Xenopus tropicalis: one gene and its partners. The protein of the gene in region 3 binds, or shares a complex with, the protein of the main gene of each other region. Links are inferred from orthologs where the notes say so. Each region holds a gene or a part of one and is shown on either strand. Other genes may lie near its edges.

Region 1 (11,031 bases), on a different chromosome or scaffold from region 3:
TAACAAGGGGGGCAATCACTTTTTCACACAGGGTCATGTAGATTTGGAGTTTTTTTTTTCCCTTAATAATGTAAACCTTCATTTAAAAACTGCATTTTGTGTTCAATTATGTTATCTTTGACTAATAGTTAACGGTTTTTGATGAGCAGAAACATTTAAGTGTGACAAACATGCAAAAGAATAAGAAATCAGGAAGGGGGCAAATAGTTTTTCACACCACTGTATATATATATATTTTTTATTTTTTTTTTAATAGAAACTGGATTTTCCAGTGTTCCACTAGTGTTTTCACTACATAAATGGAGATCAACACTGAACAGAGAAATTAATTGAATGTGTTCAATTCTCCTGTGCTCAGCATTGATGTACACTCATAGAAACAGTGCAGATTGGAATAAAATAGCAATTGCCTCACTGTGCAGTTAAATGTATAAAGCTGGCCATACACGCACTGATAATATCGTACAGCAGGAGGCTGCTGATATCGATCGACTCGCCGATCGGGTGGGTTAAAAGATTTTGATCGGGCTGAGCAAAATCTGCCTTCAGAGCTGAATCGGCAGAAGGAGGTAGAAATCCTATTGTTTCTACCTCCATATCTGCCGTTTCAGCCCTGAACGTTAGTGGCCGATTGGAACGATCTTTCGTGAGGACGATGGTCACACGAAAGATCGAAAATCGCCACGTGTGTGGCCAGCTTAAGAATCTACCACATATCAAAAAGCAGGCACCTGTGGGTTTGTACCTTAAGTATTATACTACACTTAATTCTCATGTTACGCTGCAAAACATAAATCATATTTCTATAATGCAGTGTTGGAGTGGATTTCCTACAGGTACGGAGGTCTCCTCCCACAGGTCTAAAACATATAGGCAGGTCTGTGCGTATGAATATGATGTAGACTTAAGACTGGAAAGTTCCAGACTGTAAATGATGTATAATTTCTTTAAAGTGCTGTGAATATGCCACACTATATAAAAATAATCATACATTTAAAAACTAACATAATACTTACTTTTCCTTGACTGCATTTCAAATTGACTAAGGAACTGCTTGTTGCAAGGTGTAACAATCGGCTTCTGGCCATGCATCTCTCTTTTTGGCAAAAGATCCATAAGCTTCTTTGATGAGGATTCAGAACTAACGCATATAAGTGCAAACCTTTAAAACAAAAAAGGATGTATTTTTAATATATTTATATACAGATATCCAATTTATTCATGTTCTTTAATTTCATACTACAGGTATCGGACCCCTTATCCGGAAACCCATTATCCAGAAAGTTCCGAATTACTGAAAGCCCATCTCCCATAGACCCCATTTTAATCAAATAGTTCACATTTTTAAAAATGATTTCCTTTCTCTGTAATAATAAAACAGTACCTTGTACTTGATTCCAACTAAGATATAATGAATCCTTATTAGGGGCAAAACAATGCTATTGGGTTTAATTACTGTTTAAATATTGTTTTTAGCGGACTTTAGGTAGGAGAACCGAACTACGGAAAGACCCCTTATTTGGAAAACCCCAGGTCCCAAGCATTCTGGATATTGTGTCTCATACCTGTACTAACATTCCACAAGAGAAAGCCAAAGTAAACAAAAGCAGCAGAGGGGTTAAGATAATTTAGGGAAATGATCTCCAACCAATGTACCCTGCTGTTTTAAAACACAGAAGATGTGCTTGCAAAACAGGGTAAAACATCTAGCACGTGAAATACCAAGCAACTGAGATATTACATTTGTATACCCAAGCAATTATATTGCACACCAACAAAGGATTAAAGCTACAGTGAAACATCACGGCAAATTGATTTCATGTATCTATATCAGTGCTGTCCAACTTCTGTGGTACCGAGGACCAAAAATTTTCTGGCCTACATGGTGGAGGGCTGATAATGGAAGCCAGTTTTGACCACTACCCTTTTTTTAAACTGCACCCACTTTACACCACACCCATGTAATCACAAGAGCTTTTAAGACCATACCCACATTAATGGTGGTAGCACAGCAAAAACCCAGACTTGTTGGTGCTCACTGTAGGGATATTTCCCTTCATCTGAAAGAATTATATTATGTCTAATTAAGACACGCTCTTATATCCACATGCCCCAGCATATAATTACACACCTTAGGGACCATATAATGATTATTTCCAAATGCTTACAAACTCTCAGAACAAACCACTGCCAGGTTCACCTCCCACAGGCAGTGTATTGCACACACAAGCAACATAGGGCAGGCAAATTATAGCACATATACAGGGAACATAGAGCAAGCAGAGTACTGCCTGTGTGTGCCATACTTTGCCTGTCCTACCCTGCCTGCCCTATACTCACTGTGTGCCATACTCTGCCTGCCCTGTGCTGCCTGTCTGTGCCATGCTCTCTGCCTGCCAGAGAATAAAACAACCTGCCTTGACGGTCTAAGAACTTATCATTAAATGCAATTACCAGCGCAGGTAAAAGAACATTTAGATCTTTGCATTTATTTACAAGTATATTAAAATGTGTCCAAAAAAAACCCTTCTGGTATTACTCACCCCCTATAAACCTTCTTGAAACCTTATCCTGACTCAAGACACTGCTATTAACAATGTAATATGGCTGCTGTTACTTAAAGGCAGAACCTTTGTCAAACTTAACATCCAAACCATTAAACCTAAGTAAAACAATTAGCAGAAAATCCAGAAAAGCATCCAATCTTACCCCTTTGACTGGCCATTGGCCCGATTTTCAAAAAATTTTATTTCCAAAATATCATTAACACCCAAAGAATGAACAGCATCTGTCAAGTCTTCATCAGTTGTCCACTGCACAAAGAAAGGAAAATGATGAGACACATTACACCTACAGAAATAAACCATTCTATGCAAAATCATTTATAGAATAGAAATAAATCATGCATAAAAATGCAGCTACTGTATATGCAGAAATGTCAAAAACCACACAAGATAAAATTTAACAATTGTACTTTTCTCACATTTTCCAAGATAAGAAATAATGATGTTCTATAAAGAATACGGAATTTTTTAAAGTGTGCAGGCAGATTTTGCCCCAAACACTTGAGTTCATATATTAATGTAGTTTATATGAAACTGTCAATCAGATTCAACAAAGATATAGGACACACTGTTGAAGTGTAGATAAAGGCAGATATATGCCTTTCACAGGAATAAAATAAATGCAGACAGCATATTTTTAGTGGTGGTTGTTTTCTTGTGCAGTGGTCAAAACACCTTGTGCAGCATGAAATCAACATAAACTACACAATAGGAGCAGAAAAATGTTATTGTTATGCCTTTACTTACCCATGTTAGATTTCCAATGTAGAGTGCTATTCGTTTACCAGTATAGGTATACACAATATTAGGAACAGATCCTTTCACTACATCATCTCCAACAGAAGTTGCTAGATTATCCATATAGTCGCGGTCCTCAGGAGCATCTCCATTGTTTGCAGATGGTGAGATGACATCCTCATAGAGTTCAATTTGCTCATGTGCACCATATTCTGCTTCCTTTAATACAAACAAAAAATATGAATGTTCATACCTCTTCAAGCAGCTGCCTGTTGCCTGGATCAGGGCCTTAATTATTATTATTAATTTACAAATTTTAACATATTGATGCATTCTCCACTTTATTATACATGTCAATTTTTAAAGAATACATTGTTCACCTAATGATTCTTTCAAAGGCAAATCAATTACTGGTTTTAGATAAATATGTATGGACTAGGAATGCACTTACAAGCAAAGATGTTTTGCTGTGTTGTTCAGATAAACACAACAATTCTTAATGGAACATTTGGTTTTTTGCCTGAAAAAAAGGACATTGGCAATGCGAGTGATCTCCATAATTTGCACCTTTGGATATTTGTGACTATAGCAATGGGGACAAAAACATAAAATCCCCCCTCAACAACTAAAGTGTAAAGGAAACTTTGTTGTATAATAATCGGCACATGCATGGTGGGAGACACAGCAACCAATATCAGTAAATGCCTTAAGATATTGGTTGCCTTGTCAATCGCGCAGGACTGAAAATTTTGATTGGGTGCCTTATCATCGGAACTTTAAAGGGACAGTAACACCAAAAAATGAAAGTGTATAAAAGTAATTACTATATAATGTAATGCTGTTCAATCAGCCATTAACCGTTCAGGGCTGAAACAGCAAATAAGGCTGCCGATTCAGCCCTGAAGGCAGATTTTGCTCAGGCGCCTTCTATGGCGCTCGATCAAAATCTTTTAACCTGGCCGATCGGCGCGTCGACCAATATCAGCAGCCTCCTGCGATATCGGTCGACTCGCTGACTTACCATACACGCACCGAATATCGTACAAAACGAGGTTTCGTACGATATTATCGGTGCATGTATGGCCAGCTTTAGAGGCTACCAGATTAGCCATTTACTGCCCATATTTGGCACCCCCAGAAACCTTTTTATGCTTGTGTTGCTCCCTGACATTTTACATTTGAATGTGGCTCACGGGTAAAAAAGGTTGGGGACCCCTGTTCTACAGCATTTAAAATATTTTCTGATGCTTTGACAGTCACAAGAGGCAGTTCCATGTGTAACACAGTTCTGTATATGCCTCTGCACTAACACCCCAACATTGCAAAAATCCAAGGAGGTTTGGAAGTCTACAAAGATAAGAAAACAACAGCTACATTATTTCTGACAGCTTATTTTACAAGCATCTGAATATTGTTTCAGTCCTCAACCAAAAAAAAGGGGAACACATTTTAATTTAAGAAATTGATATTTGATTATTTCCTCCACCAGCCCCCCCCCCCTGTATAACAAGAATCTTTCAATACCTTGCTGCTCTAAAAAAGAAACAAATGTTGATTTTATCCCTGTGGTACAGAAAATGTGTTTTAATGAATAATATAGAACATAACTAGGGTAAATTTCCATGAAAAATAAAAGCATTAGATCTAATATAAATAGTAATGGATTTGCCAATACTTTTTTGTGCTTTAAATAGTCAATTAGCTGAAATTCACTTCTAATTTAAATATGGAGAAAGTCTGACGTATATCAGCAATGGGGCCACTACTGCCTATACCAGATATTGACATCCTGCATTCATTTGCTAATCTAGAGATGGTGTATTTATAGCTGAAGGATATTAAAGATACCAGTATAAACCTGTTATTAAAGGTTGAACAAACCACATTTTCAGTTTTTTTTCCCTTCAACCATTGGCATTTAATTTTTTATCCATTATGTGAAACTGCAACTGTATAGTTCTACATTTACAAGTAAATGATTGCTGTGCTGTCTCTCTCAATTCAAGACAGATAGGAAAAGTACACCGTTTTATGATATTAGAAAAGTGTACATTTTTCTATAAAGAATAGTTTGGAAAATGACAGCAGATGCATTTTATTACATTATGTATGGTACCTATTTTCTTGTACCCCCCAAAATAAAGACAGTGGTACCTAGCAGCTGCCGGCGAGATGCTCCAGGGCCCCATGTATGTTACAGCCTATTATATTCTCTATTTCGACCAATGGATAAGTAGATTTATTTGGGGGGGGGGGGGGAAGCAATTATGATAACAGTTGTGAAGGTTTTTCATTAGTCTTTCCAAACAACCCTAGTAGCTTAGAACAATTTTTTAAAATAGAGTGGTATTTGAAGGGGTGAACAATTGTTGTAGTCCGTAAAAGCTCGTCTTCCCACAGTCTCTAAGAAAAAGAAAATCCCAACAACTACTGTTTTAGTCTAGAGCCCCCGTAACCCACACATAACTAATCCAGCAGGGCTCTGGGCAATGGCACTAGACTGAAGTTCCGTGGAACTCAAGGCCCCGGCACACGCGGCCTACACAAAGAAAGTGCAGAAGGCTGTGTGGCCGGGTTCGGCTTGCCCGCCTCTGTACAAATTTTGCGAATCTCCAGGGTAAAAGAAATGCTTTAAAGACTTGATAGCATACATAGGCCTACAAATAATAACAAAACAAACAGGCGCTTCTTTTATCTGCGAGAAGTCGGGAGGCGGCCCAAGCACACACAGACGACTCGCACCAGCATGACAACCACTTGCTGCACCCATATTTCCCACTCGCGATACCTGATTAAATTCCTCGCCCACATCTGCGTAGATATCGATATGATCCACTCCGTCCGCCATCTTCCGCCTGGAGCGGCAGCGCTAGGCAGTCACGGAGGCGGTGCGAGCTGGGAGGAGTGGGTCGGGAGGGGGAAGGCGGGAACGGGCGCGTCACTTCCTCTACTGGATACTGAACCAGCTAGTTGCGCGCGTTTTTTTTCACATAGTATAATTTGTATTGTACAAACTCGTTGGAACGCGAACAATGAGCAGCAGCATTAGAAAGATATGGCTGAAGGTGAATAGAAACTTGCCCCAAGTCAAATTCATATTCTCGTCAGAACACCGTGTTATGAAGATATATGAAAAACATTTTTTAAAGGTTTTTATTATTTTCTTTACAAACAGAAACATAAAACCAGCACAATAGCATATACAATAATTAGTGCTATGACCATGGAGAAAGTATACAGTAGCAGGGTCAGCTAGATACAGTCGGTGTGGCCTAAGTAGTTTGGATAAGGCCTGTGATTTGGGGGAGACCTTTGGTGTAAAAGTCTCAGGGTTATACTGTGGGACTCGCTTCTGGTTGAGCTTCTTACAGTTTTTGAGAGGATTGTCTAGTTCAAAAGGTCTCTCTAGAAATCCAGTTGCATCTAAGTGATGCCATAACCTTGCTTTGGTGTCATAATCCCACTGACATAATTGTGCCCACTTCTGATGTCATCATGCCCATGTCAAACATCACTGCCCCGCCCCCTTTGTTGAGGTTTAGCCTCTGACAAAGGTGGCAACCTTAGTAGGCATTGTCTGTATAGACGCCATATTCTCTAGAATTTGCTAGGGCAACCCCTGGCAAGGTATGTTAGTTTAATAAGTGGGAGTCTAGTGTTAACAAGTTGTTTCCATTGCTGGAGGTCAGGGGGGTGGGGGCTCATCCATTTCATTGCCAACTTTAAAACAAATGGACAGATACAGCAAATGGTGTCTATACAGACAATGCCTACTAAGGTTGCCACCTTTGTCAGAGGCTAAACTGCAACAAAGGGGGTGGGGCAGTGATGTTGGACATGGGCATGATGACATCAGAAGTGGGCAAAATTATGTCAGTGGGATTATGACACCAAAGCAAGGTTATGGCATCACTTAGATGCAATTGGATTTCTAGAAAGACCTTTTGAACTAGACAGCCCTCTCAAAAACTGTTCAAAACCACATGGAAGGCAACCCTAACTATATTCTGCCCAATGAGTAAATTCAATCCTAATAATAAAATACTAATTCATTTATTTGTTTGTTTCTGTAATAATAAATTAAAAGAGAAGAAAAGGTAAAAACTAAGTAAGCTTTATCAGGTAGGTCTATGTAAATACAGCCATAAGCACTCACGGAAACGCTGCACTGAGTCCTCTATAAAAAGATACAGGATTTCTTGTCTCTTTGATTTCCTGTGCCACAGACACGCAGCTCTCTCCTCTCTCCCCTCTCCTGCTCCCCCCTCCCTCAAGAATGCTAAGAACTCCCTCCCCCCCTTAGGAATGTGTGATCTGAGCCAATCAGCAGAAAGCTTCCTCATAGTCTTACACACTGCATATGTACACCGGTCTTGGTCTTGGTGCAGGAGCGAGGCATTATGGGAATCTTCTTTGTTTAAATTTAAAATGCTGCTATTCTTATACTATCCGTACAAGTGTCCCCTTGTACAGTTAAAAACCGTGGGATTAATATTCAAGATTAGAAAAAGTGAAAGGAGCCACCAACAGCCAATCAGATGTGTCCGAATGTGTTTTTTCGTAATGATCGTTATTTTTGCAACAATTTTTTTTGCAACAAATTCGTATGGTCACGTCGAGTACGAAAGTTTCGGATTCATTCAAGCTTCGGTATCGTGACTTTCCTTGGGCCATGTTGGAGCTGCAGAGTGCCATTGAGTCCTATGGGAGGCTTCCAAAATCATGCACAGAAGGATTAAAGTCGGAAAGGTTTTCCCGCCGTTTACAATCGTTCAATACGAAAAAGTCGACAATGGCGGCGGAAAATTCTCGATCTTCAGAAATTATCGTATCCAATCCGAATTTTTCCCATTCGGGATTTGAACTCGTGTTTTAATGAATCGGCCCCACAGTGTGTTGTAAATTTCTGGGGCTACATGAAAATGCTTGGGGTCACTGCGATATATATGCTAGGGTCACTGTGCCTTAAATGGCTGCAGTCACGCTGTTTCATGAAATGTTGTACCATTCTGTGTCATTAGTCCACACAATGTCATAAAATATTGGGCACTTTGTGTCATGAAATGTTTGGACTACTTTGGTCTTAAGTTTCTGGAATAAAAGTTTTATTAATTGCTGGGGCCACAACTAGAGATGTTAGAACCACAGTGTCCTATATATGCTAGGCCATTGTCACGTGTATTGCTGGGCTATGGTGTCATAAAATTCTAGGTTCACCATGTATTATATTGCTAGGGCCACTATATCATGAAACAGGGGCCACTCTGTCATGGGTTGTTGGGGCTACTGTGTTATGATATGATGGGGTCACTGTGTCATGAAATAATGGGATTATATCATCAGTCTAATGTTCCATATAAAAAATATATTTATATATTTAAAGTATAGGTGCAATAGTGGTTTGATGGGCTAGTTCCTTATCACTGTGGGAGGCGTTTACATTCTTGGCTCCTTAATTTTTGATATGCAGGGTTGGTTCTTATGTTACAAGTTGTATTATTTGCTCTGGTTGTGCTGCCTGCGGTGCTTTTTGGTTTGGTTTCCCTGAAAAAATGTTTTAGGTTGGTTAAGAACAAGGAGGAGTCTAATGCAGGTTGGCGAGTGCAGGTTAGGCAAATAAATGTCATCATATATAAGAAAGAATCAAGAGTATAGCAAGGCCTCTAAAATTATGTTATCAGCATAACCCTTGACCCTCTTTGTCCGCCTACCTTTTTTAAAATATGAAAAAGAAAAATAGAATATAAGGACACATAACCATATATGTTATACTCTCAGTGCTGTCCAACTGGTGGCCCGTGTGGCCCCCCCACCTGTCTGGCTGATAGCATACCTTTGTGTAAGCTTTAAATGGTATCAGTATCAGTACTGGCCCCCTGCATGGTTCTCACCTCAGATTCTGTATTGTTTAAAAATGTAATCCCCTGTGTTGTTCACACCTTTTAATCCCTGCATTGTTCACCCTTTGCATTGTTCACACCTCAGGCTCAGACTGTAATCACCCACATTGTTCACCTCTTCACACCTCAGACAGCAGTAAAAACCCACAAATAAACCCTGCACACTATAAAAAGAACATATACTAAGATGGTACTGCAATGTCAGATGGGAAAAGTTTTTTAATATATAGTTATTATGCAGACTGTAGGAGCAGTGTCACTGTATGCTGCCTGTGTGTGCCATATTCTGCCTGCCTTATGCTCTCTGTGTGTGACATACACACAGGCAGCATAGGACAGGCAGGGTAGGGCAGACAGAGTATGGCACACACAGGCAGCATAGGACAGGCAGAGTATGGCACACACAGGCAGCATAGGGCAGGCACAATATGACACACAGGCACCATAGGGCAGGCAGAGTATGGCACACAGAGTATGGCACACACAGGTAGGTTAGGGCAGGCAGAGTATGGCACACACAGGGAGGGTAGGGCAGGCAGAGTATGGCACACATAGGCAGGGTAGGGCAGGCAGAGTATGGCAGGTTTTTGCTGTACTGCCATCATTAATATGGGTATGGTAATGCAATAACATGGGTGTTGCTTCAAGTGGGTGTGGTTAAAAAAGGGGAGTGGTCAACTGGCTTCCATTATGGCCCTCCACCACGTAGTCCAGAAAAATTCCGGCCCTCAGTACCACAGAAGTTGGACAGCACTGCTCTAGACCCCTGTCAACCCAGTGCTTGATCTGTGAGCATCTGAGTGAAGGGAAACTGACCCTTTTGTAATGAAGCTTCTTCTGTTTCATGTACAGTAGGATCAACTGTAATCCTCTAAACCAGCTCAACCCTACCCTCTAAATAAAGCCATTCACCAGATAGTATAAATTAGCTTTTAGTTCTATGTGGTGTGGAGAGCACTGTATAATTATCTGTAATATGTGTGTTTTTCATATAATAATAATAATAGCTTATACATGTTTTTATATGGCATTATTTTGGTATTACTGTTGGATTCATTTTTTACTGCGTGTATTTACATTGTTGTGCACTAGGGGTCAGACATAAACTGTTCTGAAACTACTGCTCTGTGTCCATCATTTGTGCTTTATTAAAAAAAACCAAAAGAATTGTTATGCACATGCTGTGGCACAATTTTCAGTGCCACAACATGGATGTTCATACCAGGAGCTCCCTTACTAGCGTTTGGGGTGGGCATTGTTTGGTAAGGGTGAAGGAAACAATTTTTTTATCGATAGTTGGCCTTTAAAAACATAGAATTTGCAGGACCACCTTTCCTTAAACCATCTCGCCTTCTTTATCAAGAATCCTCAAGGAATACACCCAATTTAGTAAAATTTATATATATAGTGTGCTAACACAGTTTAATTAGACAATTTATAAAAGAGATCAAAGTTAAAGACAAAAATCTTTACCTAAAACAGGTGTTGAGCTGGGTGTATATACCCCAGGTCCCTCACCAAATATTTCAAATGCTAGTATACATGCAGTGAAGATCACATAAATATACACACACTCACTGATGCCACAATTTGGTTCGGGTGCTTGGAGCCCCGAACCCGTAGCCCAAGGGAGCAAACTCAAATCTCTGAAGAAAGCAGCTCGCAAAGCACCATGGTCAGCCAGAAAATGGATAAAACTCGAACTTTATTTACATTCTTAAAAACCCAGAACGCCTGAAGCGTTTCGTATGTACCCGCACTTAATCATAGGCATGCATTCTGAGACAGTAACATGCTATATAAAGCCTATCAATTAATGACATCACATT
Region 2 (11,033 bases), about 29 Mb from region 3:
AACAAGCAATGCCAGTCAGAAACAGCCAGCAAGGTACTGTCTTGTATTGAAAGGGTTATAGTTTTACAGGAGGAAAGGAAATGTTTCCCCTTTACAAGGCATTTTTAACATCCTCATCTAGAACAAGCAGTGCAGTTTTGAGCTCCATCACTTAAAAAAGGGATGGTGGAACTATTGAGTACAGAATATATCTAGAAAATATGGAAAATATCTAGAAAATGCATAAATATGTAATTGGACCATATAATGCACTCTCTGATGCCTTATTCACCAGTAGGTCCTTCCAGATGATGTAAGAGCTGTTCCATTTTCCCATCTGGATTCCCTCTACTCTGGAAAAACTAAATGCTAGACAAGCTTCACTTGGATGCATTTTATTTTCTTTAACCTGATCTCCTATGTAACTATGTAAAGGTGGCCATACACAGGCAGATTTCAGTTGCCGATTCAGGTCCTTCAGACCGTTTCGGCAGCTTATTTGCCCAAGTATGGTGACCCTCGATGGGCCTCGTTGATGCGGTCCTCGGTCCAACAGCCCATATACCTGCCGTTTTGATTCTCCAAATGATCGAATTAGCCTGATATCTACCACCCTAGGTGGCCTTATTGGACTGTGTATGGCCACCTTAACAAGCCAATTATGTTTTCCAGCTAGAACTGGCAAACAGACAGGCGTTAAAGTTTTACAGTAAAAACAAACAAAAAAAAAAAACTGGTGTTTTAATGGGATTAAGGCTACCATCTGAACTGAAAATTCAGGGAAACATCCAATAAATGCACATAGAAGAGCTGCACCAATTGCATTTAACTGAATTGCAATAATTTCAACCCTGCTTTCTGGTTTTTCTAGATGTGACCCTGTTTTGTGATTATACCAATCTCATTATATCAAACTGTATTTAATTCTAATTTTAGTAAATATTAATACAACCAAAAATGAATATCATTTATGGGTTTATGGTAAACATTGCCTCCATGCATACTTTCCATGACCTTTAAGGTTTAGTACAAGAATCAGAGTCCATAAACAGTTCTATTTTTCTAATAGCACTTTAGTCTCTTGGCTATAGTGCCCCATTATGCTTTACTCCTTGATTATAAAGTGACAGATTATAAGAGCAGAAGCCCTGCAACTACTGGGGACTGAATATAATACTGTGCTAGTGGTTGGGCCTTCTATCCGAGTGTCAGTTAGTCTCCCTGACCCATCACTTACCCACGAGAAGTTTCCGATGTACATGGACACCCTGTTGCGCCCACTGTGGTACAGGACTTCAGGAGTCTTGTTGTTTGACATAGGAGAAGTGCTCTGTACTGGAGATGTTGGTTCCAGGGCACTGCTGTTCCTGTTGCTCTCAACATGCGAGGAGGAAATCGCTGGCACAGCCAACACATCATCATACAGGTCTACCTGCTCAGCAGCAAACTCCGACTCCTATAAGAAAGGTGTAGCACAAGCTTAAAAATGAAATTATACAGGCAAATTAAAGCAGAACAGCCATAGCAACACACCTTTGGCTACTACTAATAAGGGGATTGCAGGATATATTACACAGTTCAGAGAATGCGCTGATGGCATTTTATATATAAAAACAAATGTATTATTTATTTTAAGCTGAAAGGGGAAAAGAAGGAACAGGTGTTAAGCAGAATGAAAAGGGCAGCATGCTTCATGGAATCTAGTTATTGTGTTGTAGTTGCAGCATAAGGACCAGTTCAATGAAAGATTTTTTATATTATATATATATATATATATATATATATATATATATATATATATATATATATTCACACATGTATGCACTAGTTTCCAAACAATTCCTCAAGGTGTACAGTCAACCAGAAATGCAATCAGACAGCTCTCTTATACCATATTTAAAAGATAAGTTTCTTTATTTCACATACCACAAGGATCCTAGATTAATGGTCCTAATGACGACTGAACCACTGCACACAAGTGGTAAAATAAAGAAACTTTTGTTAATTTAAATATGAGAGTGTTGGTCTTTATCAAAGACATATACCGGTATATCTATCTTATAGGGGAATGCATGTGCATGTTATATGCAAGCTCTATGGTACATCCATGTCTGACTGGAGCTTTGCACATTTAGGAATATAAAACCTACGTATAAAAATAGACTATTTTTCTTTTTCAAGCCAAAACTGCAACAGCAAGAGAGTAAAGGTGGACAAGTACAAGTTATAATAACAATCTTTCTTGCAGAAAAAATTGTTTGTCCACTCCACTAACATTAAGAGCTGAATGGTCAGATAGGGGTAGAATTCCTGTTGTTTCTACCTGCATATCTGATGATTCACCATTAACGTATAGGTGATGTTTGGGCAACATAAAAATTTTCAGACCTGACCGATGGACAAGACGACCATTATCCAAAGCTTTTGCGATACCGGTCGCCTAGTCAGCCCACCATACATGCACCGAATAGCGTATGAAACCTCGTTTGTACGAGAATATTGTGAGTGTATGGGCACCTTAAGCAATCCCTATATTCCCTATTATCCTACAAATACACAGCTAATCACTCACTTACAGGAACTGACTTCCCAACATGCCAGAGGGTTATACAGATTAGGTGCTAGGAAAAGCTAGTTAGTTCTAGAGTTACAATAGCTCCCATTATCTAACCACTCATTTACTGCAGACACACAGCAAACTAATAATAATAACAATAATAATAATACTGGGGCCCAGTGCATGCACATAGGGAGTGATACAACACATTTACTCAGGATCCATTTAAACAAAAAAGATGAATCACTCTCATGTAAGTGCATTTACCCAGACAGAACATTCTAATATAGGCATCTCTACAGGGAAAATCTATTCAGTGTTGGACTGAGACAGCCAGACACCAGAAAAACACCCGGTGGGCCCCACCAACCCAGTCCTGCTCCTAGGGCTGCCACGGGGCACTTTACATGCTCCCTGGACATACCTTTTTGATTAGCAGGACTTATAGCCCTCCCCCATAAGGATATCATGAACAAGTGGATGGTGCAGGACTAAGCCCAAGATGCAGGGTTGGAGCTGTAACCCAAATACAAACCCAATAGCAATGCCCAGCTGAGACACATGTGGAAGCTGGACATCAACAGAGAAGGCTTGTGCCTTATTTCTGGCACAGTCAAGACATTTTACTAGAGCTTTTTTCTCAGACCTACCTGTTCTACAGGAGCAGCAAAAAGTATATTTCCTTCCACAACCACATTTCTGCTAACGATGAAACACAACGACCAATGTATTCAGGTATGTCAACTTATGGCTCCATCATATACAGATATATTATATACACAAGCTAAATTTGCCAGAATATTCTTACCTCTGCGATGCCTGGGTGGCTACCATGCTAACATAGGTGTCAATTTGCAGTGTCAATAGCAACAACTAATCCATTCTGCCCTATGAAGACAGGCCTGCACTATAATTTCTACTCCACAGGGTTGTACAATACAAACAAACCCTATTTTAATGCTGCTATAAGTAACTGCAAGATATGTAGTAGCAGTACCAACCTGTACTTACAGATGCCTGAAAACACTCTGCTTATTGCAGATCCCCCCAAGTAACACCAAACCAACCCCAAAATAAACCAAAAGAAACTGGGGGGCAGCTGAGACTATAATTAACCAGCACCTGGGCTAGATAAGATAGATAAAGAGATATATATTGTGGTATAATTTCACAATACCAAATCTGCAGCCCTCTAACTGTTGCTAAATTGCAATGCCGAATATCCCATAACTACAGGAATGGAGATCCAACCTACCTGCATTGACCCTCTCTATTCAGGACAAAGACTGTTGTTAGTTTTATATGGATTTTATGCACAACAGGTCTACACACCCTATTTACATATTGTACTTGGTATATATCAGATTATAGCACCCAAAACCCATAAATATTCTGTAAATGATATCCTTAGAAACCGTGGTCTGAATAAAGCCACTCAGCCTTCATTTCACGCTTTTATATGATCAAGGGACTCCTCAGCAACAGTGAGAATTACTCCCTATATTATCCACTGTTTATACAGCATTAGTATGTTATCCATAGCGGTAGAGAAACTGGGCATAATTCATATAAGCCTCTGTCCCATAGCAAGTTAAGGCCATATCACAATCACATAAGTCATATTCACTAGGGTCAGCTTCATCAGGCTTCAGTTAATCTGCCTGTATGTTTAAGCAGTATAATAGATCCCTGTTGCACAGAACCATAAATAGGAGCTGCCATATGTCTTGCCTCGGCAGGCACATTCATTGATGTTTTTAACATTGCCCTCTACTGGTCATATACAGTTTGCATTATTCCTGTGCTGACTGACAATATACAATCCTATATATTTTGTTACAAGGGATGTGTGCATAACCTTTTCCCTGACTATGTAAAGGAGCAATAATAATTCCAGCACTTTTCGGTGCATGAAGGGTCATCTTTATTTTAATCTAAAAATCATTTCCTGCTAATTGTATTGAGTATATTATTCTCTGGCAATAAAACAAGTCCATGCTGCACTGACATGCTCTAGGGATTATCACTACAGAATGTGCGCGTATCAGTTTCCCATATTGGCTGCAAAGAGAAATGCTTCCAAAATATACAGTAATGTAGATAGATCCACAGCACTGGAGTAATTATTGTACTTTAATTGGGTTCCCATCATGCTTTTTTTGGAGACTTTACTGCAATCCACCAATACGGGGCTCATGTTACAATTACATAGAGATACATGAAATTTGAATGGGCTTGTTCATCTATAAATGAAGTTAAAATACCAATTATATGATACTATATATTTTTTATTAATTTCTTAGCTTTTCATTCAGAAGCTCTTCAGTTAGGAATTTCAGCACCTATCTTGTAGCTAAGGTTTAATTTTCCTTAGTAATCAAAGTGGCTTTCATAAGACACTGCAAGATGATAGGGGTAGTACACTTTTAAAATTAACTTTCAGCATAGTGTAGATGGTGATATTCTAAGAAAATTAGCAATTAGTCTTCATATCTTATTTTTAGTGATTGTTTAATTAAACTTTTTGTTGGTTGGCTCTACAGTTTTGAATTTCAGCAGCTATCTAGTTACCTTAACAACCAGGCAGTGGTTTGAACAATGATCTGAAATATATATTTTTTGGCTACTGGGGTCAGTGACACCCAATTCAAAGGCTGAAAGGGACAGAAGATGATGACAAATAATTAAAAAAACTATAAAACTGAAGGCCATTCGAAAACTTGATAAGAATTGGATATTCTATAAAAAAAAAAAATGTTATGTTAAAGGTACACTACCCATTTAATGGAGTATTTATTCTGTATGGGACAGAGGGTCTGGACATGGTACTAAATATTAATGTCTTAAGCCCAAAGCTGAACCACTGCTCATTCCATATCTGATAGATAACTTTAAGGCTGCATTTAGCTAAAATACAGGAATCCCCTCAAAGTAGATCCAACAAAAAATTGTTTTTGTTAGCTGTTAAAGCCTTCCAAACAAATCACTACAAGACAAAACAAAGCATTATTTTTGACTGATCCCAGAGAAGCCCCTAGTGATCAAACAGGCAAACATCAGATAACTGCAGGTGCAAAGTTTGTTCAGGTCTAGTAACCCATAGCAACCATAGATTCACTTTCAAGCGGTGAAGCAGTAGTTGCTGCATGCTGATTGGCTACCATGAGTTACTAGACCTGAAAAGAACTTTGCAGCTGTATCCATCCCTCACCCAGAGGCACAGAGCTGCGCAAAAGGCGCGAGTCAGCCATGACAATGCACAGTAATATGTATAATCCCATTGGGGAGTACTATATAAATAGCTCTAAATTAAGGGAACAGCTTTGATATGTTACTATTAATACCATACACTTAGCTGTAATAAAGGGTTTTCAGACAAAAATAAATCAAGGGTTACATGCACGGCATGGGTCTAAATACATATTAAAGGAACAGTAACACCAAAAAATGAAAGAGCTTTAAAGTAATAAAAATATAATGCACTGTTGCCCTGCACTGGTAAAACTGGGGTGTTTGCTGCAGTAACACTACTATAATTTATATAATAAGCTGCTGTGTAGCCATGGGGGCAACCATTCAAGCTGGAAAAAAGGAGAAAAGGCACAGGTTACATAGCAGATAACAGATAAGCTCCGTAGAATACAATAGTGTTTTATCTGTTATCTGCTATGTGCCTGTGCCTTTTCTCCTTTGAATGGCTGCCTCCATGGTTACACAGCAGCTTATTGATATAAATTATAGTAGACTTTCTGAAGTAAACACACAACTTTTACCAGTGCAGGGCAGCAGCACATTATATTTTAGTTACTTTTATACACTTTCATTTTTTGGTGTTACTGTTCCTTTAAAGGGGAACTCCACCATTTTTTACAAAGAGAAAGATAATTCTTAAAAAAAATAAACTTTTCAGTATAAAGTCATTATAAATGTTGGCTTTATAGTTGTGTATATAGATTTTTGCAGTCTGCCCCTGTTTCTGAAAAGTTCTCCACCCGGTCTGTTAATCAGCTGGCTCCTGCTATATTTATTATAAAGAGTCCAAACAGCAATGCAGAGCATTTAAAAAGACAAGACTCTTGTTTTCAATTATAATAATATTAGCAGATAACTTTAAAAAAAAACATAGAACAGGGTTGATTAATGTAAATGGGAAAGCTGCTTAGCATCACAGTTTGTTTCATTATTGAATAGACTTGTGGTGGAGTTCCCCTTTAAACAAACAAAGCTATTTAAAGCCAGGCAAGACAAGGTTGGAGAAACAGATTGATTTTAATGATAAGAGAGATAAACAGAGAGACATAATATATAGGAGCCAGGGGACTGCATATCAATATATCACAGCCAGAGGGGGAGGGATGGACAATGGGCTTTATATATATATATATACTGAGGTGCATAACACACTATATACCAGGCTGGGAATAGAAATACATAGAACCCTGCACTGGGGGGAAGGGCCCACGGCTGATTGCGGGGATCTGTCCAGCCCTGTAGCCAAAGCAGCAGCCAACGTGCGTACATACGGACACGACAGAGATAAATATATGTACATTTCTCTTTGGGCCGCTCCGGGTCTCCCCCACCTGGATGAACTCCTCCTCGGCGTAAATATCAATCAGATCGGCCCCGTCCGCCATCCCCGGCCCGGATCCCCCCGAGCGAGGATGCTCAGTTCGGATAGCACTTCCCCCCCTCCCCACTGCCCCAACTTTGTCTCCGCGTCCGTTTTGGTTGCTCCGGTTCCGTTCAGCCACACTGTTCTTCCCCCACTGATAGTCCTCCGCTCTCCGGAATATGCTCTGCTCCCAGACTCCCGCGCAAACCGGAACTTCCGCCGCCTCAGATGCGCGTCAGGGACCCACTTCCGGTAGAGAAGGTCGGGCACCGGAAGTGTACGGAATTGTGACTTACACCGTGACCCGCAAGATGTTCGCGTCAGGGACCAGGTTCCGGTAGAGAAGGTCGGGCACCGGAAGTGTACGGAATTGTGACTTACACCGTGACCCGCAAGATGTTCGCGTCAGGGACCAGGTTCCGGTAGAGAAGGTCGGGCACCGGAAGTGTACGGAATTGTGACTTACACCGTGACCCGCAAGATGTTCGCGTCAGGGACCAGGTTCCGGTAGAGAAGGTCGGGCACCGGAAGTGTACGGAATTGGGATGTTCGCGGCGGGGATGCTGAGAAGAGCCCCTGCGGTGAGAAGCTGTGGGGGCAGAGGGTTACCCTTGTCTTGCACATGTGTCTGTAAACTACGGCACCCAGCATCCTCTCCAGCACAGTTGTCAGATTTATTGGTTCCATCTGTCATGTGATCCCTCTAGCTTTTACCAAGGTTATACATATAGGAACTCCCATGTTATTATCAGCAGCTCAGCAATAGTGCATTCAGTAGCACAGCAAAAGGGCCAAGTAAGTGTTTATCCCCCAAAGGGGCACTATAGTCTCTTAGTCAGCATAAGTGCAGGAACGTATGTCTGTTGTTATTGGATTCCAAGTTTTCTCCCAACAGTCACAACAAAGGGTGAAGGAAGTTGTATGCTGGTAATTCCTTTACCACCCATGGACCAGATATAGAGTAGGTTCGATTTCCTACACGTATGCCATCCTACGTGTGGGTGGGATGGCATTTTGGGGTGATTAGTCGTTAGTCGCTAGGGAAGATTTATCGCAGCGACACATCTCCCCTGTACCACTGCCCATAGGCTAAAGTCCCACTCAGAGATTAGACGCCTGCGATAAATCTCTGATTACAGAGGAGACTAATCTATCCAAAATGCCTTTAGGGCTCTGGCACACGGGGAGATTAAGTCGCGGGCGGGATGGCACACGCGGCAGTGCGATTTCAGTCTTTTTCGGCGATTTCGGGAAATCGCGCTGCCGCGTGTGCCATCCCGCCGGCGACTTACATGTTCGCCGGTGGGATGGCGGGTCATGGCAACTCGGGGAGATTAGTCGCCCGTGACAAGGAAGATTTGTCGCGGGCGACTAATCTCCCCGTGTGCCAGAGCCCTAATTACACCAACAAAGAGAATCTGCGGTGGAAAGGCCTACACATTGCTTCACAAAGTTTCCTTCTGCTGCAAACTTCGCATGACTCAAGTTCAATGATTACTTATCAAGTCCAGTTGCTTTAGATTTACCTATACTATATATATATATATATATATATATATATATATATATATATATATATATATATATAGGATACAATTTGCAACACTTTCAAACAGAGTCATCTAGCCTAAGCCTGCTTGTCTTATTGGCCAGATTCCTTTTCTCTGTCACTTCATTCTATTAGAAAAAAGTCAAGGAAAAACCAAACAGGGCGAGGATACATTTCCCTTAGGTCTGGTGTTAAATCTAGGAGCCATATTGTGCCATTAGGTATCACTCATTTATAAGGGTCAAATGGTAGTGACAGCTTTACCCCCTTTAAAACTAGATTCTGATAATTATAATTGAGTGCAAAAGGCCATACTAGAGGAGAGAAAACTCCTCAGATAACTTCAGCTGGATATCAGACCAAGACCAAAGAGAATATACAGGTTATCCATTGGCATTTTTGATCCCGCTTTAACCTTAATCCAATATTCAACATCAGTATAAACATACTGCGTAAATTTTTTGAAAGGTACAACTCCCTTAAAATTATTGTAGTTATCTGAAGACTGCACCATAAGAGCCATCTAAGAAACAAGATAAATGTTGTTTTTGTGACACCTTTATTATGTAAGTTGAATTACATTTCAAGCTTTTAAACAACTAGGCCTTTTCCTAAGGGATATTGCAACCTAGAAGCTAAAATAGCACATACTTATATTTAGATACACCGTTAGCCTTTCATATTATTTTCCTTTATTCTGATGGGATACTGAGTGTGTGCTGTTTAGTATCCACTTTGTAACAAGCCAGAAGATGAAGAAAGAAAAATCTCAAGGAAATCATCAAAGTATCCTAGGCAGTTGACCAGTAAAGACATCAGAAATATTCCAGCCAAGTGCAGTTGTACCTGCTATGGTACAATTCTATGGTGCCAGATAAGCAAAAATGGTATCATGTTGGGGTTGTGCTCTGTACTGTTTCATGTGCTCAGAGCTAATAAATTCCCCTGATTTCCACAGAGGTACCTCTTGAGTTCCTTTGCTGTGCGTCGGGGACAAGTTTCAGATGCCACAGGGACATACGAGTCAGAAATCCAGCTGCCTCCTTGGAAGGAACGTCTTAATGAGACTCCAGAAATCAAGAGAGCAAGACTGGTGTATGAGAGCCGGAAGAGGGGCATGCTAGAAAACTGCATACTGCTCAGGTATCATATGTATCTCAATATGATCAGCCTACACATGGTTTGGATATTTAGACATGCTTCCTTTTCTTCTTTCCTGTTGCTGCCCCCAAACACGTGTTTAGTGATTAATACAATGATCCGGCATGATAAAACCTATTACCTTATTTTTCCTATTCACACACTATCAGTGATTGGTAGGATCAAGTCGATTTGGACATCAATGAGTGTGACTTAATAACTAAACACATGACCAGCTGGTTCCAGGATTGATCATTCACATACCATGGGTGACCAGCTAGGACACATAACTATAATCTAGGCAGCTTTGTTGTATTGTTAATAGAATCGCTGGCTAAAGAGGGTGTTTTTTTTTTGTTTAGATAGAGTCTATTTTGTGCTTCTAATATAGAAATGGAAACCTTGTTAGTGCCTCATCTCCTGTACTGACAGCTAGAATAGACAGGGAGACTAACATTAACAGGGATCTCTATCTAGGGTCAGGCCAAACTTAAATGAAATATTTGGCTTCTGTGCCAACATAACCAGAACTGGAATGACTACATAGTCCTCCATAGCAGGCAATTTCAGTGCTGTGGCACACAGGGCCTTTTGGATAATGGCACTTGTAGTGACAATCAATACATTGCTGCTCATCTCAGATTATTTGCTTTTAACTTCTTAAGTGATAATTGTCATTTTTAGCAGAGTGCTCCTGTCATAGTACAACAGTTAATCCAATATTTTAGAAATAAAGATGGAAGCCTGGAAAGTGGAACTGTGCTGCAGATTTTTTGAAGTGTGCCACTACATACTCCGTAATCAGCTTTCTCAGAGTTAAGGTGGCCATACACTATAAGAACTGCTTGTTTGGTGAGGTTGCCAAGCGAGTGGATCTTCTCCCGATATGCCCACCTAGGGGTGGTGGATATCAGACTAATTGATCGTTTGGCCCTAGGGCGGGGAGGCCCGTCAGTGGTGCCCATACACGGGCAGATAAGCTGCCGAATCAGTCTATAGGACCATAGGACCGAAATCGACTTGTGTATGGCCACCTTTAGTTTAAATAGAGAGAGTGCTCTGTATAAAGAGTCCCCTTCTTCACTCTTTCTTTTTTGGCTTATAGATAAGTAGAAGCTCATAACGCACTGATTATCTGACAAACTTTTTCAACTGAAATTCTCACAAGAACCAGAAAGTAGGAGATCGGAAAT
Region 3 (10,426 bases):
CCGAGGTACCTAATTTTACCAAAGAAAACTGGAAAAACTTATTGACTCGAGTATAAGCCTAGGGTGGGAAATGCAACCGCTACTGCTAAGTTTCAATAATCAAATAAAAAACAGATAAATAAATAGATAACTTTAGGGAAAGAAAAATGCTACAGCAGCAGACAAAAGCAAATTTGGGAAGGCTAAGGAAGCTGCCATACTAATTATCAAGTACTTTTAGACCCCAGTGTACAAGTCCCACCACAGTACTACAATAGTAGTTACAAGGGAAAAATAATTCTTGATGCTGGACTTAGTACAAATTAAATTTTTGTAAATAACAAGTTATTGTACCAATTACTTAATCTGGCTCGTTGCGCACAACCACCCTCCCTCCCTCCACCTGTGTCTGTTCATACCTCCCTCCCTCCACCTGTGTCCCGTTCATACCTCCCTCCCTCCACCTGTGTCCCGTTCATACCTCCCTCCCTCCCCTTGCGTGCATTCCTCCCTCCCCTTGCGTGCATTCCTTCCTCCCTCCTTCAACTTGTGTGCATTCCTCCCTCCCTGCCTCCCTCCACTTGCGTGCATACTTCCCTCCTGCCCTCCACATGTCCATATGTGTCCGTGTCTACCTGGCGTCTGGCTCGTCAAACGCGTTTGTTGCATGCACCTACCCCTGAGGAGGGACAAGAGTAAGTGCATGCATGTGCGTGCTCAGATCGCACGTCCATGGGGGCAGGGTTGGTCGTTGACCATGCTCAATGAGCCAGACGGCAGGTATGCACGGTGCACGGACACATATACACGAGTATAAGCCGAGGGTTACTTATACTCGAGTATATACAGTACATTTAGAATGATGTAGACATTGCTATTCTAAGACAATTTGCCATTGGTCTTTATTTTATGTTTTTTCAGTTATTTAGCTTTTTGTTTAGAAGCTCTCCAATTTGGTATTTTAACAGCTACTAGAGTCTTATTTATCCCAGCAACAAGGCAACAGTTTGAATAGGAGATGGGAATAAGGTAAATAGGAGAGGACCTGCATAGATAGGTAAGTAATAAAAAGTAACAGTAGAAATAAAATTGTAGCCTCACAGAGCAACAGTTTTTGGCTGCCAGGGTCAGTGACTCCCATTTAAAAGTTAAGAGTCAGAAGAGGGAGGCGAATCATTTAAAAAAACTATAAAATATAATGAGAACCAATAGCAAAGTTGCAAGGTGAACCATCTCTTTAAGTTACATAAAACCGCCATGTGTTTTTTTTAAAGGGGAAGTATAAATAATTTAATATCCTTGACAACTTTGTTTTGTCTTAATAAAAAGAACTAGATTGAATATACATAGCAATTCAAATAAGGGGGTGGTGTATTATAAAATTTGCATGACCCAAAAGGCTTTTTTTTTTTGTAAAAAATTGTTCTCTGAATGACATATGAGTTGGGTGGGTAAAGGAGATGCTTATGTGTTTCCCAGCCATATGAATTGAGTGCTGCCTAATGCAGGCAGTGCTCTATGGAAGGGACATTTCACAGGTCTCTGTACTCCAAAATTGTGCTATTTGCACAATGCCCTGATTGTGGCCTTTTTTGGGGGGAAATTGCACACTGCCTGGGACATTTTAAATAAGCATTTAATTGTTTGCTAGGTTGGCCAGGGGTACCCACCCCACAAATTTCACTGTAATGCAACCAATACCACACTTGTTCCTAATTTGTGGGCCACATACTGTAGTCCCAGGATCAGTGGTGCACCTACAATACAGCAGACAGGTGCAACAGGCAGACATGAGCAAGGCATGGGGGGAGGGAAGAGACTGTACAAGTTGGTTAACATCAAGCACACTATGGGGGAAATTCACTATCATTAGTGAAAAAAATCCTTTAGCAACAAATCAGCAATTAGTTACTTATTATATCTGATCTATTATGGTCTGATATATTCTGATTAAATATCTGATCGGTTTCAAAAATGTTATTGTAGTGGTGCAAAATTGTCCCTATTTTTTGTTAATGTCCCCAAAGTTTTTATTTTTGGCTGGATAGACAAAAAATTCTACTACTGCTTCAGAATAAATGAAACACCCAGTCACAGTTATCTCATACTAGGACACATATACCACTACTTAAGCAGAGGTAGTGTGAAATGACACTGATTTTGTATTTGGCAGACCAGGACATTCAGTACAGAAGGACACATTTATTTCCTATTTTTATTGGGCATGATGAAGGGGTATCAGATCCTGCAGCTCCAGACAAAAACCTTGGTTTCATCCATTATGCAGTTATATCATCACATTTCTTGCTTGCTTACTCAGTACACTGAAGTGCTGAACTCCAAAACTATAACCATCCAAAGCAGTGGGACATAATGTGAGATAATATCCAGTGAGACAGATATAGATGAAATAATCCAGTTTTAATGATGTAAGAAAAGTGAGTGACATCATGAAAATAAAAAAAAAAATTAAAACACTAATGTCTTGCTGCTGTGTTTCACTGCAGAGTCTTGTTTTTCTGACGGCAACAAGTGAATTTTAAAGAAAAAAACCTGCTGAAACGTTTCATTTTTACAAACTATAAAGCTGTGCTCACAGAGACCGCTTCATCCACAAATTTCTTTGATGACCTCTAGATAATGCTCAGTTGTAAATAAAATTAAACCTAGAGAGAAAAAAAATGTATTATCGCATTACAAATATCTATAATTCAGCAGCAGCTGAACACAGGATCTACATGTATGATGGTAAATCCATGGTTTAGCAGAGCATAAAATGAGCAAATATTCAGTTACACATATATAGGTAACTTGGAGTCACCATTACAGGTTAAAGACATTTGCTGTTTTGTGTACATTTTACAAACCCCAATTGATGGTTATCTTTTAAAACACCAGTAACAAAAAAAAAAAAGTATATATACATTTGAATACAATTTGCTGTGACCCAGTAATAGTAAAAACATAAATACACTGCCAAGCAGCCATTCAAGCTGAATGCTAATGTCAAATGCCATTCACATCTCCCTAAAGAACTAAAGAAAAGAAACTCAAGAAGGTGTTGGTGCTTAATCAACAGATACAAACTTTAATTGCAACAAAACAATCACTTTTGATGTTCCTGGTCCTCTCAAGGCAACTTCCGCGATTTCACGGAAATCACGCCGCCGCGTATGCCATCCCACCGGCGATTTACATTTTTGCTGGTGGGATGGCATTTCGGGGAGATTAGTCGCCCGCGAACAGGGAGATTTGTTGCGGGTGACTAATCTCCCCGTGTGCCAGAGCCCTTAAAGTAGTTGTTCACCTTTGAGTTAACTTAGTATGATGTAGAAAGAGTGATATTCTGAGATAATTGGTCTATCCTTTTTTATTATTTATTTACATTTCTGTTCATTGGTTTTGCAGTTTGGAGTGGTTTAAATAAGAGACTGGAATATAAATAGGAGAAGAGCCTGAATAGAAAGATAAGTAATAAAAGTAACAATAACAATAAACCGTTTTTTTAAAACAAGAAGGCAAATAATTCAAAAACTATAAATAAAAACTATAAATAAAAAATAATGAAGACCAAATGAAAAGTTGTTTAGAACTGGCCATTCTATAACATATTAAAGGTAAACTTAAAGGTGAACCAACCCTTTAAGCAGATATTCAGATATTAATTTCTTTTATAGCATATACAGTATGCACAGCACTAAACTGATATACAAAGCCTTTAAGAAAAAAAGATGTACAGCAGTAAATGCTAAATATTTAAAACATTTACAGATGGCTGTATGTAAAAGTATGAACCGAATTCAGAAGCAATAATAAAATTAACCATGTTATGTATTAAAACTAGACTCCCTTCCATTAGTTATCAGAGACAGGCAGACTGTGACTTTGAAGCCCATTGAATACATCGGTAATCAGTGTCATGGCACAGTTTAAATATTTACTTTATTTTTAAAATGTATTTTTAGAGAGAACTACAAAATATATTGCACTTATTGACAATGTAGGCTTGTCACAGTCACTCTCACTTTGAAACAAGACAATAATATTTCAAAATGTATTATTTCAGAATGCAACCTACCTGCTAAGAAGCTGTGGGAGACTTGAAATGATGGGGCCATATCCAGGAGCATTGTCGTACAATTCAAATAAAGGGGCTGCAACAAGTTTGTAATTTTTGGGCACAGCAAATAGTGCTAAAGGATAAATGAAACCAGAAAAATCATTTAAAATAATTTTCCTTTTAAATTGTAATTGTCTAGAAAAATAAAGCAACCGATTAGCTATTTGTTGTAAAGCAGGTGACCTGTTAAATATGGTTTAATTGGAGAATTGTATTATATAATCTGCCAAAAGTCAATTTTATCAAGTTTACTTATTAGCTGGGAACTCCTTAAGAGTAAAGCCCATGTCACACCAGGTGTTTTCTCTACTGGCATATCTGTGCTGGGGGAGAAAATGATGACCTTCCTTCTGCACCTATAAGTGCACTGAAAGGCTAAATTCTGGCGCAGAAATGCATACTTTCCATGTTCCGACCTGTCTGTACCCTAACTGGCCAATTCTGTGCCTGTCAGTGCACAGTGATGTCAGGGCAGGGTTAAACAGATCTGTGTTTTCTCACCCGACATATATATATGCTGGTGGGCAAAACTCCTGGTGTGACATGGCCTAAATTTAGAAAAATGTAAGACACAAACAAGTCATTCAGATCATCAGATAATTATGGCTATCTACTTGCAATTTAATGCATGCCTGAGGTCTGGTGCATTAAACACACCTTGACTTGTTAAGCCTTCAGTCCTCTAGTATAAACTAGGGGTACAACAAATACAAAACACAAAATTTTACAGTATAGATTCGGACAGATACCAATAAAATCTGAACCCATATTCAATTTTTAAACCATGAGATAAAAACATTCATCTTTTTTGAACATAAATTAGTTGTCAAAACACATAAGTTGGATGCAGTTCAAGAGCTAAATAGATAATTAAATATTTGGGACCCTAAACCAACACAGGGCAAATCTGCATGTGAGTAGTAACTCATACAACTTTGCACAGTATCCAACTGATCAGCCTGACTGAACATAAGAAGAGAGAGGTAGCAGTAACAATTGAAACAGCAGGTACTGAAGACAACAAGCCATGGCTCCTCTTAACAGCCTCATTTTCCAATTCACTAAACACCATGATACAGGTTTTTTTAAACAGGTTGATCCACAAACTGGCCGATATCCATAGTACATGAATACTGGTCGAGATCATCAGCTTGCTAAACGTGCTTAAAGGACATGTAAACCTCCGCAAAAAAATTTAACCAGCGAACAGCCTTTTTAAAATCTTTATAGATACCTGGTTGTTAAAAGCTTAATTGTAATGCTACAGCATCCCCTTAATCACTTAGGATTCCTTCTCCTCCTCTAACCCACTCGGGTCCCCTTTTTAAGGAACAGACTCTGGCTGTTGGGTAATGAGCATGCTCAATTCTTCTCAACTCAACTCAGATTAAACACACTCTTCTGTCCAACAGCCAGTGAAGAGATGGCATTGCTGGTTCCTATAAAAACTCTGCTCTAGCTGTCTGCTCCTAATTTTTTTCCTAATCCCCTACCCTGAGCTTAATTTAACTAGTATACTGCTCAATCCAAGAAGGACTTTTTACCAAAATTCTGCTTGTGTAAGCCTGCATTCTTCATAGCATAACAGATGAAAGTTCTGTTTTCAGTTTTTATGTATTAGTATCCCTTTAAGAAAAATCAGATAAGCCAGCATCTTACCTTTCTCCTGCAACTGAACTAGGAACAATTTCTTGTGTTCTTTAGGTTTTGTAATATGAGCAGGAATGTATGGATACTGCAAAGATAAATAGGTATTTATCAACATACATACATACATACATACCATGACTGGGTTGTTTCAGTAGTTAAAGACATGTTAGGGAGAGGCTGAGGGGGGAAAGATAATAAAAACAGCCAATTTGCACGTCTGCTTTTTTGACAGCTCCCCATGAAGCATCAACATACCACCTAAATGTTTCTCTTTTTCACAAACAAACAATACAATAAACTGTATGGAGTTCTTGTAAAAAGTCTGGAAGTCTAAACATAAGAACTGGCCAATATGTTTGTTTTACAAAAAGAACACATTATACATTGTAAATTACTGCTTTTGTAAAAACCCCTTTATTTCTAAATATATGCAGTTACAGCTGTGCTTAATTGCTTATTTTATGCCATCTTCTGCAAGAACAGTAAAAATGTTCAGAAGGTTTAATATAAACACTGTTATATGTTTTATTTACTTTATGTGATTTGCCCTTTAACAAAAAATGTGAATCAGTAGTTACAATTAAGGTTAATTTAATTTAAAAAATTTTTGTACTAAATCATTTATTTGCAATACACATTTATTCTGATCCAGTATATTCATTTTCCCTAAGAATTTGCCTACTTATAATAATACAAGCTGAATGTGTGTTCTCATAGTCTCTACAAAAAGATACCATAAGCTTCTGGCAGCATAGGTCTAACCTCTTACCTAAGCATAATTTCTGTTAGAAAAGTTCAAGGCATAGCTGCCCCTAAAGCCAGTTTATTTCTTTAGATCAATGCTCACCAACAGAATACCAGTATATGAAATTGTGAAAATGGCTAGGACCGGAGAAAATGGGCAAATAAGCTTAAAACAAAACCAAAACAAAATAAGCTTAAAGGACATGTAAACCCCACACATAAAAACTTAATCAGTGAACAGCCTCTTTGAAATCTTTCAATACCTGCCACACTGGTTGTCCAGAGGTTAATAGTAAGGCTGCAACATCCCCTTAATCACTTAGATTTCCTTTTCCTCCTGTAACCCACTCGGCCCCCCAGGAATTTGCTTTGGCTGTTGGCTTGTGGGCATGCTCAGTTGTTCTAAGCCAAGATTACTAAACACGCCCCCCAGTCTAGCAGCCAGTAAAGAGAGGGCCTTGCTGGTTCCCATAGAAACTCCGCTCTAGCTGCCTGCTTCAATTTTTTTTTCTAAATGTAACTGATTATATATCAGAGGAAAAATGGCCACTGGGTGAAAGCTGCTATTTGCTTTTAGGAAAATGTGATGGTGCTGGCAAGCGGAGGGGATATATGCAATACAAATTATGCCATTTGGGTGAGGGAGATGTGCCCAACTGATATATATTGTAGGCAAATGTAGGCTTTACATGTCCTTTAAATAAGTGAACAATTTATCATCACACAGAAAGATGCTTCATGGCACAGTGGTGAAATATATGTAATACACTGATCCAGGGTGTGAAACTAGTAACCTAGATAATGCTAACAATATTAAGTTTGACACTATCCTGCAAGCAAAGTAGTGGTGCTTTCTTGCATAAATACATACTATTATACCAAAAAGTAATCACTGTGTGTGTGCAGTGAAACTATATCCTCAACTATTATTGTACACTGAAGATAAAATAAATAGAAACTCAATTAGCAGCAAGGTTGATGTTTGCTTTAACATTAGGTATAAACTGTATACCTGAGGAGGTTCAAAGTTGGGCCTCCACCAATTTCCAATACAGTCATCAATAACCCAGTCCTGCTGAACTCCATCTTGACGGCCAAGTATCTAGAAAACAAAAATAATGTTTTTAATATTTAGACCCGTGTGAAAGACTCCTTGTAACTCCTCATGTCACATAAACTTTTGAAGAACAGGCATGCACTCCTTGTCCAAAGCTTTTCACCAGGTGCAAATCAGATGAGGAATCTCAGTACTCCCCCTCCTTTACCACAGTCCAAAAAATATTCTGATGCACTCAGGTTTTTTTGTATCAAAATTCGAAAAACATTTTCTTTATTATATCAACGTTTCCACACCACAGAGTGGTGTCTTCCTCATTTCACATATTTATAAAGCGCCAGCACGCACAGAAGATACAAATTACATACAAAGAGGGCCCTGCTCAATACAGTTTACAATTTAAAAGAGAAGGGGGTATGAGACAAGTCAGCCACTCATATTGAAAATGCTACTTTGGCAAGGTTACCAAATGAACAGATGTTTGTCTTTTTATCTACTTGTGTGGTAAACACACTAGAGCAGATCCAAAGCTTTTACTGCAAATTAATCAAACAGAGGGTCCAAAAAAAAGTTTTCTGCTTGTCCCAACTGATTACAAATATACATATACAAAATACCAGATGAAGAGCACACCAAAATTTAAATGCGATACCTGGGTGCCAGAGCAGCAGACATGGAATAAAAAGTAAAAATGTCGGCACTCAGAGGGTTCTCACGATAATACTCACAGGCAATAAGTCATAGTAAGATACAGTAAGGTGAGGTTTACTGATCCAACGTTTCGGGGTTCTAGTAAGGAACCGAAACGTTGGATCTATAAACCTCACCTTACTGCATCTTACTATGACTTATTGCCTGAGAGTATTATCGTGAGAACTCTGTGAGTGCCGACATTTTTACTTTTTATTACATATACATACATACATATACATTCAGCAACGAGTATCTACCTCTACAAAAAAAAATTTCAATGGTAATCACTCCCTTCCCCTTCATAAATCAAAATGCGTATGCAATGCACATTGGCTGCTGCCATTTTTGACAAGTCCAGTGCCCAGACCTCCTGGAGGCCACCACCCGTGTCCCTGATCTGCATTTTACCAACTGGTCCAGGGAATGGGAGCAGAACCTAAAAGCTTCATTAATGTGGTTTGGAGTGGGGTGAATGTTCCAATTTACATCCAAGATCACCAAGTTTACAGCACAAAGGTAAAAGATCAAATATTCACTTACTTCTGTCATTAAACGTTTCAAACCTTCCACCTCATCCTCTCCTGGATTGAGTTCTCCTCCAGGCCTTTATGGAAAAAAAGTATAAACATATTCAACACAGTGACCATAGTAGAAATCTTTCTCAAACTCCTTTAAGTGGTTGTTCACTGTCCAAATCCTATTAAACCACCAACAATACTGTCAGCGTGTCAGAAAATGCATTTTCCATAAAAAATGACCCAGATATGGGATCTATTATATGAAAACCATATATCCAAGAAGGTCAGAATTATGGAAAGTCTATCTCCTATAGAATCCATTTAAGTAAATAACACAGAAAACCATTATTTAAAAAAAATCTTTATTTTTTGTGCGCGTGTGTGTGTGTAGATATATATCTATACACATTCATACAACTCCCCAAATGGCTAGATAGCAGCATTGTATGACATGTGTAGTCAAACCTTCTCAGCTACTACAGGTCTACTAAGAATAAAAAAGAATATACTGGAAAGTTCATGAACTCACAGTTTGAAGAAGGTGGTGCCCAGTTGCAGTAAGAGCACATGAGGCAATCTGTGTTCATGTACAATAAGAACCCCTTCTACAGTGCGTCGCATCCCGATCTTATCAAACTCCTCGCGCATGCGCTGGAACCTTGCAGCCACTGAACTGTCCTTTTCATACAAAGGCTCTTTGGTGCCAAAAGTGTAATTTGTAAGGGGATACCTACAAAAAAATATATTTTTAGTGGAAGACAAATTATTTATACACTCCATAAATGAAAACAACTGCTGGGTATTCTACGCTGCCACTGCATGAAGCCAGCTAAACAAGGGAAATGGGTCTGTGCCTATTAGTATGAGTGAGATATTTGCTACAGGTAAAAACTATTGGTTCAAGTAGTTCAAATGAAATATCAAATATTGCAGACATTAAAGGAGAACTCTACCCCCTGGGCTATAAAAGCCCCCTTAACTAGCACTGCCTTGACCCCCCTCACCTCTCCCTTATCACATTGTTTCTAACTTTAACAACTGTCCATTTGCTAACCCCAACCTAAAACAGCAAAGTAGCACAGCTGCATACCTGGCCGACATCTTCTTTGCAACTGAACACACTGAAATCTGCTTAAACTGCGCATGCGCAAGCAGGGTTTGTATCGGCAGAGAGACCCGAAGTGTGTTCAGTTACAAAGAAGATGTTGGTCAGGTACTTAGCTGCGCTACTCTGCTGTTTTAATTTGGGGTTAGCGATAGGGACAGTTGTTAAAGTTAGAAACAATACGATAAGGGAGAGGTGAGTGCTAGTTAAGGGGGCTTTTATAGCCCGGGGGTTCTTCCTTAAGAAGACTTATCTAAGATTTATTAAACATTCTGTATAGCTCATTGGATTTTGCATTGTAATACAATACATTTTATCTTGAACTTGAAAAGTTTAGTTAAACAAAAAAAAAAAACAAACAAAAACCCCACTGTTTTTATTACCAATTTGTTTCATAATTCTGGGCACCAAATAAATGAAATAACAGCAAATACAGTTTTGAAAAACAGTTTCAACCCCTCCCTGACCACTGAACATAAACTACAAGCAAACTCTAGCGATAAAAGGGGCCTGTCACCCTAAGAAATAATTCAAAATCCTTGTGTGTCATTTTAGTCAAG

The links.
Region 1: the proteins of nudt21 (region 3) and cpsf6 are in contact, whole or in part, in a crystal structure (PDB 3P5T), measured with the Homo sapiens proteins. The link is inferred for Xenopus tropicalis from reciprocal best matches to the Homo sapiens genes NUDT21 and CPSF6. Residues at the interface, in NP_008937.1 of Homo sapiens: Pro151, Asn152, Glu154, Pro156, Tyr158, Tyr160, Pro162, Ala163, His164, Ile165, Thr166, Lys167; in NP_008938.2 of Homo sapiens: Trp90, Trp91, Thr92, Thr93, Asp94, Glu95, Lys113, Phe114, Glu116, Asn117, Arg118, Ala119, Asn120, Gly121, Gln122, Ser123.
Region 2: the proteins of nudt21 (region 3) and cpsf7 are in contact, whole or in part, in a crystal structure (PDB 3N9U), measured with the Homo sapiens proteins. The link is inferred for Xenopus tropicalis from reciprocal best matches to the Homo sapiens genes NUDT21 and CPSF7. Residues at the interface, in NP_008937.1 of Homo sapiens: Arg68, Asn152, Glu154, Pro156, Tyr158, Tyr160, Pro162, Ala163, His164, Ile165, Thr166, Lys167; in NP_001129512.1 of Homo sapiens: Trp91, Trp92, Thr93, Thr94, Asp95, Gln96, Glu112, Lys114, Phe115, Glu117, Asn118, Arg119, Ala120, Asn121, Gly122, Gln123, Ser124.

Annotation. Positions count from the first base shown.
Region 1 is NC_030679.2:58,918,520-58,929,550, forward strand, and holds the start of cpsf6 (cleavage and polyadenylation specificity factor subunit 6), read right to left. Parts: upstream 6,269-11,031; 5' UTR 6,151-6,268; coding exon 6,091-6,150; intron 3,522-6,090; coding exon 3,312-3,521; intron 2,814-3,311; coding exon 2,710-2,813; intron 1,163-2,709; coding exon 1,017-1,162; intron 1-1,016. UniProt on the Homo sapiens protein: Component of the cleavage factor Im (CFIm) complex that functions as an activator of the pre-mRNA 3'-end cleavage and polyadenylation processing required for the maturation of pre-mRNA into functional mRNAs.
Region 2 is NC_030680.2:22,864,460-22,875,492, reverse strand, and holds the start of cpsf7 (cleavage and polyadenylation specificity factor subunit 7), read right to left. Parts: upstream 7,328-11,033; 5' UTR 7,174-7,327; coding exon 7,120-7,173; coding exon of another isoform or gene 7,087-7,119; intron 1,436-7,086; coding exon 1,217-1,435; intron 1-1,216. Other genes in the region: sdhaf2 (succinate dehydrogenase assembly factor 2, mitochondrial), read left to right, coding at 7,697-7,732, 9,659-9,843.
Region 3 is NC_030680.2:51,656,656-51,667,081, forward strand, and holds the end of nudt21 (cleavage and polyadenylation specificity factor subunit 5), read right to left. Parts: intron 9,492-10,426; coding exon 9,291-9,491; intron 8,848-9,290; coding exon 8,784-8,847; intron 7,596-8,783; coding exon 7,506-7,595; intron 5,835-7,505; coding exon 5,759-5,834; intron 4,173-5,758; coding exon 4,058-4,172; intron 2,646-4,057; coding exon 2,624-2,645; 3' UTR 2,382-2,623; downstream 1-2,381. UniProt on the Homo sapiens protein: Component of the cleavage factor Im (CFIm) complex that functions as an activator of the pre-mRNA 3'-end cleavage and polyadenylation processing required for the maturation of pre-mRNA into functional mRNAs.